2 linked regions of the Danio rerio genome follow. The protein of the gene in region 1 purifies or fractionates together with the protein of each later gene. This does not show direct contact. Links are inferred from orthologs where the notes say so. Each region holds a gene or a part of one and is shown on either strand. Other genes may lie near its edges.

The links. Proteins that work in one complex are often made in the same cells at the same time.
Region 2: the proteins of foxj1b (region 1) and tbc1d32 purify together in Homo sapiens (affinity purification with mass spectrometry; 3 studies listed by BioGRID and IntAct, counting the BioPlex papers as one, with this or other methods). This does not show direct contact. The link is inferred for Danio rerio from reciprocal best matches to the Homo sapiens genes FOXJ1 and TBC1D32.

Annotation. Positions count from the first base shown.
Region 1 is NC_133187.1:21,834,362-21,838,746, reverse strand, and holds the start of foxj1b (forkhead box protein J1-B), read right to left. Parts: upstream 2,940-4,385; 5' UTR 2,515-2,939; coding exon 1,963-2,514; intron 1-1,962. UniProt on the Homo sapiens protein: Transcription factor specifically required for the formation of motile cilia. Acts by activating transcription of genes that mediate assembly of motile cilia, such as CFAP157.
Region 2 is NC_133195.1:44,126,776-44,130,097, reverse strand, and holds part of tbc1d32 (protein broad-minded), read right to left. Parts: intron 3,248-3,322; coding exon 3,059-3,247; intron 1-3,058.

The sequences.
Region 1 (4,385 bases):
TGTGTGACAGAGACAAAAGGGGGAGGGGAATGTTGTGTGTACAGGAGAAGAAAATGCGGTGAATAAAGCTCTCTAGTAATGCAGCACTTCTAGTTTCACATGATCAGCGGCTCCCTTAAGGATCCCTCATTAGGGCAGAAGGCCTCAGGAAACCAGTGCTCTTGGGTATAGTGGTCTCAGCTTCCATCATCAGTCACCCTGCCTTAACATTAAGTATATTAACACATCTCACATGAGTGCACAGGTCTGACACCAGTTATTTGGTCTATGGCTCAATGTTTTGGTAGTTCTGTATTGACAGACTACAGTTAATTTGATTCCTAACTAAATGACTAGGATTTCTTTTATAAAATCGAAAATATGCAACAAGTGTGGTCTGATTACTAAAGCAAGTGACTCTTATAATTTGATCATTTTTAGTGAGTATTAGAAAAATGCAGAGCTAACATGTAAGTGTAATCTGTTTCCAGAACTATTGATCCTTAGAAATTGATTCTTTTAGGTACAATATAAAGCATGACAGGAGTAATCTGATTAACAAAGCAGGAGACTCTTAAAATTAAGTTATTTTTATTGAGTATCTGAAAAATATAGTGCTACAACTGTAATCTGATTCCAGAACTAATGACTTTTAAAAAAAATCTATTTTATTTAATATTTTCATAAATATATATACAGTTGAAGTCAGATTATTGACCAGAGTACTAAACAATTGACTCTTTTGAATCGATACTTTTTAAAGAATTAGAAATATTCAGCATGACAAGAGCAGTCTGTTTAACAGTTGTTTGACTGGAAGGCTATGAAATGATTTTTTTTATTTTTTATTTTTATTTTTTTTAGTAAATTTGAAATATATGGCTTGACAAAGATATGCGATAATTCTTTTCATTTAATAAGAAATCTTTACAGTGTGATAAAAAATTCAAGTACCAAACATAATCAATAGATCCTTTTTTGAAGGAAAATGTGAAATATACAGCATGACAAAAGTAACATTCTTGAGTCAGCTTTTACCAGCATGAATCGATTTGTTTTGACAAAACAGAAATATACAATCTGACAAAGGCAGTCCGATCACCTAACGATTCACTCTCATGAATCGATTCATTATAGTGATGTAGAAATAAACTGCGTGACATAAGAAGTGTCATTACCAAACGATTAACTATTATTAATCTAATTAACTATAATGAATCGAATCCTCTTTAGTGAATCAAAATATTCATAGTTACACACACACACACACACACAGACACACAGACACACACACACACACACACACATATATATATATATATATATATATATATATATATATATATATATATATATATATATATATATATATATATATATATATAGTCCAATTATACCAATCAAAAGACTTTGGCACTTTGTAATGAGAACTGTAAACACGCATTAGCAAAGCTGCAAAATCCGAAGAGATTCGTTAATTAATGACTGATGCTTAAATTAATGACTCTTTTGAATCGGTTCTCCTAATGAATCAGACCTTGAAATTAATGATTTTGATTACAATTAATGAATTAATGATTAATGATTTTGTCCTAACGGTTTATTGGATTACTAAATTACCTAGTAATGAACAGAAATTATAATTATTTCCAAAAGTGTTTATTGGTAAACACTTTTTTGTTTTAAGATGAATGCTCTTTTTACTGCTCATCTCTATTAACTTAAATGATCTTATAATTCAGAAAAAACACGCTACAGGCAGTGAATTCGAAGAGAACTGTCTGCATGTATTTATTTCCAAAATAAGTAATAAGGGTCGTTAATGGAACCGTTAAAGAGTCGTTAAAAATAACCCTATATCAGGTCGTTGCACCTGCTGCATATGTTCAAAAATGTCTTTGAAACATGGTACACATGACAATTAATAGATAAAGAAAGAACCCCTCTAAATGATCCTCAGAGAAACAAATAAACTGAATTTACCTGCCAGCTCGGCTCTGCGTATCTGTAGTAGCAGAAGTTTTCGGTGATCCAGCTGTATATGGCTGACAGGGTGATTTTGGTCTTGTTGCTGGCTTGCATTGCCATGCAAATCAGAGTGGCATATGAATAGGGTGGCTTCACGTGGCGGTTTGTTTTATAGTCTATCTCCTCAGCCGGGTTTGTTTGACCCGTTATGTAGTGTCCGGCTTGCTGAAGCGCGTATGGATTGGCCAAACTGCTGCAGGACGTTGTGGGATTCCCAGGTGTCTGTGGCATCCCTGTGGCGGCGGTATCTCCGGCAGGTGGACTGGAGGGCGAGTCGGTACCCCCCAGCTGGTTTTTGTAGTAAAAGAGATGTTGCGGGTGGCAGCCGGAGCTGGGAGTCCTCTCGGGGTTGGCACTGAGGATGGAGAAGTTCTGCAGCCAGTGCAGACTAGTGAGACTGTCGTCAAAGTGCACAGAGCCGCTGACATTATCCTGATCCTCCGGATGAAGCATCAGCCATTTCTCTTTGAATTTATTCGCTATTTCAGGACTCATTAACACCGGCATCTTGATCGCGAGTTTGGAAGGAGCAGATCTGTGAACGACAGACAGACACGCTTGAATATTCGAAAATAACGGCTAATAAAATAAAGTAGCTAACTATTTTAATATAAGCGTATGATTATAAATAATCCACCACAGAGTTGATCTCCTAAACAAACCGCCTACCTGCGAAATGAAAACACGCCGAATAACTCGTATGTTTGAGCGGTAGCGGTGTATGTCTCTTCAGTCCGTTAGATTCAGCCTGTTCTTCTCAGAGCAACAAGTGCAGCGGATAACGGAGCGCGTCCACACAATCACACATGTCCTGATGTCTGCTGGAAAAAAGTAGCATTCCAATCTCGTCTTTAAGAAAGTCCAATGGAAGCAGTTATTGTGTCGTAACTCGTAAGCAGTGAACAACAGAAGAGAAATGAGATGCGGGCTCCGTACTCCGCCGTTTTGCCCGTTTCTTAATAGCCCTTTAAATGTTGACGCTCTCTGATTGGCTGAGAGCTCCAGAGTAGAACATGTCATTGTCCCTGCGCAATGAGCGCATTCTGGGGGTTTCAGGCTTTTACATGCCACAGATCTTTTGTTGTTTTGTTTTTTTATTTATAGCTTTTTATTAAATATATATATATTTTAAAAATATATATTTTGCATTTGTTGCAATGCTTTTGTCTACAAACGTTACAATGAACCTCTTATCAATGCCTCAAATGCGGTCATCAAGGGGTCCCAAACCGGACCACAGCTTGAAACTCGTTTTATCAGATGAAGATGTTACAGGTGCTTATTTTGGTGCAATTATAGTGTTGAATAATTAAATGTTGTTTTTCAACTCTTAAATTAACAAAGTTTTCTTGATTAAAATGCATCACATTCGAGGATTTGCGATTTATTTATTATTATGATTATTTGCCTTAGAATTACACTAAATAGGCATACATTGTAAAATGAAATTTGCTACATTCTTAAAAGAGGGTTCCAAAAAATTGTTTTTATTATTATTATTATTTATTTTATTTTTATTTTTTTTGCAGTGATGTTTTAGAATATCATTCTTTGGTTCCCAAAAAAAACCCTTTTGTTCTTAAAGGGCATTCATTTTCCACTATAAAAACGTTCTGTGGAGTGGCAGGGTTTAAAGAAAATATATTTTTAAGAGTGCACATTCCTCGAGTAAGTCGTTAAAAGTCGTTGATAATAAACTTTGCGCCCGCGCCAAGAATGAAAGAAGCGCGCAAGAATGAAAACAGTGACGCGCTTTTACAAGAGCGCGCCAATCATCCCGCCGCAGGAGACCTCTATGACCCTCTCCTTACAGTCAAAGCATTAGCTTACACACCACATTGTCAAACATGTAGCCGTTTTCTCGGAGGCTTGGTGTACTTTGGGTAAATAATAGCTTTACTGGATTTTCAGAAACTACCGAAGTTTTGTCAGAGAGAATGAGGATTTTCCAAAACAGAGAATACACTGCCACCCACTGGCTGAACAAAATCCCTACGCTAGCCATAATCTATCAATCAATCAAATAGTTAGAAATAAGATATTTCGTTGATCAAAAATAAATAATAATAATTAATAGCATTACTCCAAACGTCAATCTATGTACTTTCTCAATGGAAAATTCTATATGGTATTATCAGAAATTATTCTTTGCATGTTTTTCTTTTATTCTGTACCTATTTTTTGCCATAAGATCACGATATCATTGCCTTAAAATTGATCAACAACCTTTATTTGAATTCATCTTAAATAACAGCATTTAATAGCCCTATTTAAGCATATTTGGTCCTCTTTAAACTATTTTGAACTATCTGAACAATAGTATAAACTATTCCAAAATATTTTGCCTACTTTTCACATACAAAAATTTCTTTTATAAG
Region 2 (3,322 bases), on another chromosome or scaffold:
TTTTGTCTTTTTAGACCATTCTAGTCCCAGATCCCTATTCACTTTTATCACACAGAAAAGAATAATGTGAACATTCAGCTAAACTCATTTTGAGGCTGAACATTACAACTTAACTCCTCTCAGTGTTGCAGTTTTAAAACAACATGAAGATGAGTAAATTATAACTCAATGTTTTTTATACATGCACAAAATTATCCAATATTAGATTATTTCAGAAAGTAGTTTTTTATGTGTTTGCATGCAAATCAGTAAACCTGTTATGCAAAAACCATGAGATTCTAAGCTTTGCCAGATTTCATACCGACTACCTTTACATGGCCATCAGTAATCAAATTATTTGCCTTAATCTGAATAATAGAATAATGTGCTTTACATGTTTACATGAGTTGTTTTTTGAATGTTTCAATTTGATTAACGTCATTGCGTCAACACGCTATCCACATTTCCTCTGAAGTTTGATTAAATTTCAGGTATTTCATATTTAATTCATCGACTTTAACTGCAGTTTCACTTTTATTCAGAAACATTTCATGCATGCCTCCGAGACCAACGAGATATTGGTAGCAATGAACTCCTGGAAGAGTGTTGTTTTAATGGAATTTGATACTCTACGCCTTAGGGTGGAAAAAAACTCTGCAAAAAACCCTCAAGGTGCCGGTGTCTGTGGTCCTTCATTGACTCGGTAGGTGCAGAGAATAGTGTCAAACAGAGGTGTGTGTATAGACAGGCCTTTTGCAAAACGCGGCAAAAAATCTTAAACGACGGAATTAGTTTGAATGCAGTGTTTACATGTCTGTGCTGCACTTCAATAATGCAGCTAAAATAGGCATACTCCTCCACATGTCTTAATCTGATTTCTGTTTAGTCTGAGTATGACTTTAGTCGGATAAAGGTATTTTTTTTTTTAAATGAATAAATTACTGCTTACAAAGTAGACTCTTAATAAGAGTATTGTCTTAATCGTATTAAAATGTGATTATTGATGCCCATGTAAACGCACTCATTGAAAGCTAATGTCACAGCCCAAACATCAGCATCAGTAGCTCGAAAATTTTGAGGGGAGTCTGTCAGAAGCTGTGCTGTTGTATTGTATGTGTGTTATCACTTTTTTACAGTATTTGTGAATGTAGCAAATTTTATTAATCGATTATTCGGTGCATGAAATATAACTGCTGCCCCTGTCTAGAAGTGCCTGCTTAAACTGGATACATGTCCGCAGTAGACACTCTTGGAAGAAGGTAATTTTGATAGAACTCACGAATATTGATAGAAATGAAATCTGTGTTCAACAAGTACCTTGCATGTGCAATCAGACATGAGTACATTAATAAACTGCTAGAATGCTGATAAACTTGTTTACATGCAATGCGATAATGGGTATTGTGTAAAAAAAAAAAAAAAAAAAAAAAAAAAAGCATTTTAACCATCTTTTACCTTTAATAATAAAATAAATAGGGGTAATGCGTTTACATGGCATTACACATATCAGCTTATTAAAGGGATATTCATGCAAAATAGCAGATGTAATCATCATTTATCCACCCTGAACCTTTATGAGTTTCATTCTTTTGTTAAATAAAAAAGATATTTTTTAAGAAACCTGGAAACCTGTAACCATTGACTTCCATAGTATTTGTTTTTCCCTAGTAAGGAAGTCAATAGTTACAAGTTTTCAGCTTTCTTCAAAATATATTTTGTGTTTAACAAAATAAACAGGGTTTCTGCAGATTTCACCAAATCAAATTTTAAACTTTGTAAGACTTTTTTTAAGACCATCAATAATGAAATTTCAGACTTATATAGGGCTAACAGGGTTCCTGCATGTTTTATCATGTCAATTTAAAGACTTTTTAAGACCTTTTTAAAGCTATTATAAATAAAATGTTACACTTATACAGGGCTAAAAATTATTTCTAATTGCCTGGTTTGCCACAAAAAAATAAAATAAAAAAAAAAAATCTTAGCAACATACATAAATGTGTCAAAACAAGAAAACTCTAGTTGTATACACTTTTTGTAAGTATACACTTATAAGTATACACTAGTTGTCAACACACTATTTCTTTTTTTAAAGGTAAGTGTAACATTGTTAAAAGAATATTTTTAATGTGGAGACAATTACATTACTAATCAAAATATATATTTGGCGGCTTTTGGTCCAAATTAATTGAGTATAACTTCTATTCAACCTAATGTGTTTCTGTAATAAAACCTTAAGTTTCATACCTATTTATAAATATTATTTCTGCTCCCCCTTCTGTAAATAATGTATGAATGGAAGATATTGTAAAGACATATATTGCTCTGTTATTATCACAAGCAACCGTGTAATTGATTTTTAGTTTACTTTCCCTGATTTTACTAAGATGGATTGTTGGAGAATGGATGGATGTTGACCCGATTGGGTAGCTTTACTTGGACAGAGGGCATACAACACAATATTTCAGTGAATTTAGGGCTTTTAAAGGCCTAAAATTTTGTTTTTGAAATATAAGACATTTTAAGACTTTTTAAGACCCCTGGCAAAACATAAGAGATTTTTTTCCCATAAGAAAAAAAAAATAAAATTCTTGCCCTATCAAAAAGTCATTGCAATCAATTATTTCTAAGTCACATATTTTAAATGATGTGTCAAAACAAGCAGACCCAAGTTACATACACACTATTTTTCCACAAAACTTAAAAAAAACTCTTTAAAAAATGTAGTAAACTAAATGTATGCACAACAAACTGTTATAATTTTAGTTATAAATAGAGATTTGCAAAAAGTTTGGCATTATTGTTGATTGGATGTGTTGGATTACTGGGTGAGACCTGTTATAATGAGACCTGTTAAAAATTATTTAAGACAAACAAAACAATACTTTGGTGAATTTAAGACATTTTGTTTTTAAAATTTAAGACCTTTTAAGACCTCGTGGACAACCTGATAAAGAAACACATATAGGTTTGGAACCACATGAGAGTGAGAAAATAGTAAGTCATTTTATTTTCATTTCTCTATCCTTTAAAGCATAATCGGCTTATGTAAACGCACAGTTAAAAGGTTATACTGCACCTTGAGGAAGACCTGGAGGTCTTGTGTCTGTGTGTGCTGTAGGATGTCCTGCTGTAGGTGACGGAGAGCAGAGACGCACATGTACACCTGGTAATCGGGTCCCATAATGACGCAGGTGGTCACATACTGACAGATCTCAGGCCAGTCCAGGTAGTTCCAGAAGCACTGGCCGAGCCACTGAACACAGATCTAACATAACAGGTGGAGAAATAAAGAAAAAAAGTAGATTTAAGAAACACTTACGATATACATTTTTAAACACTG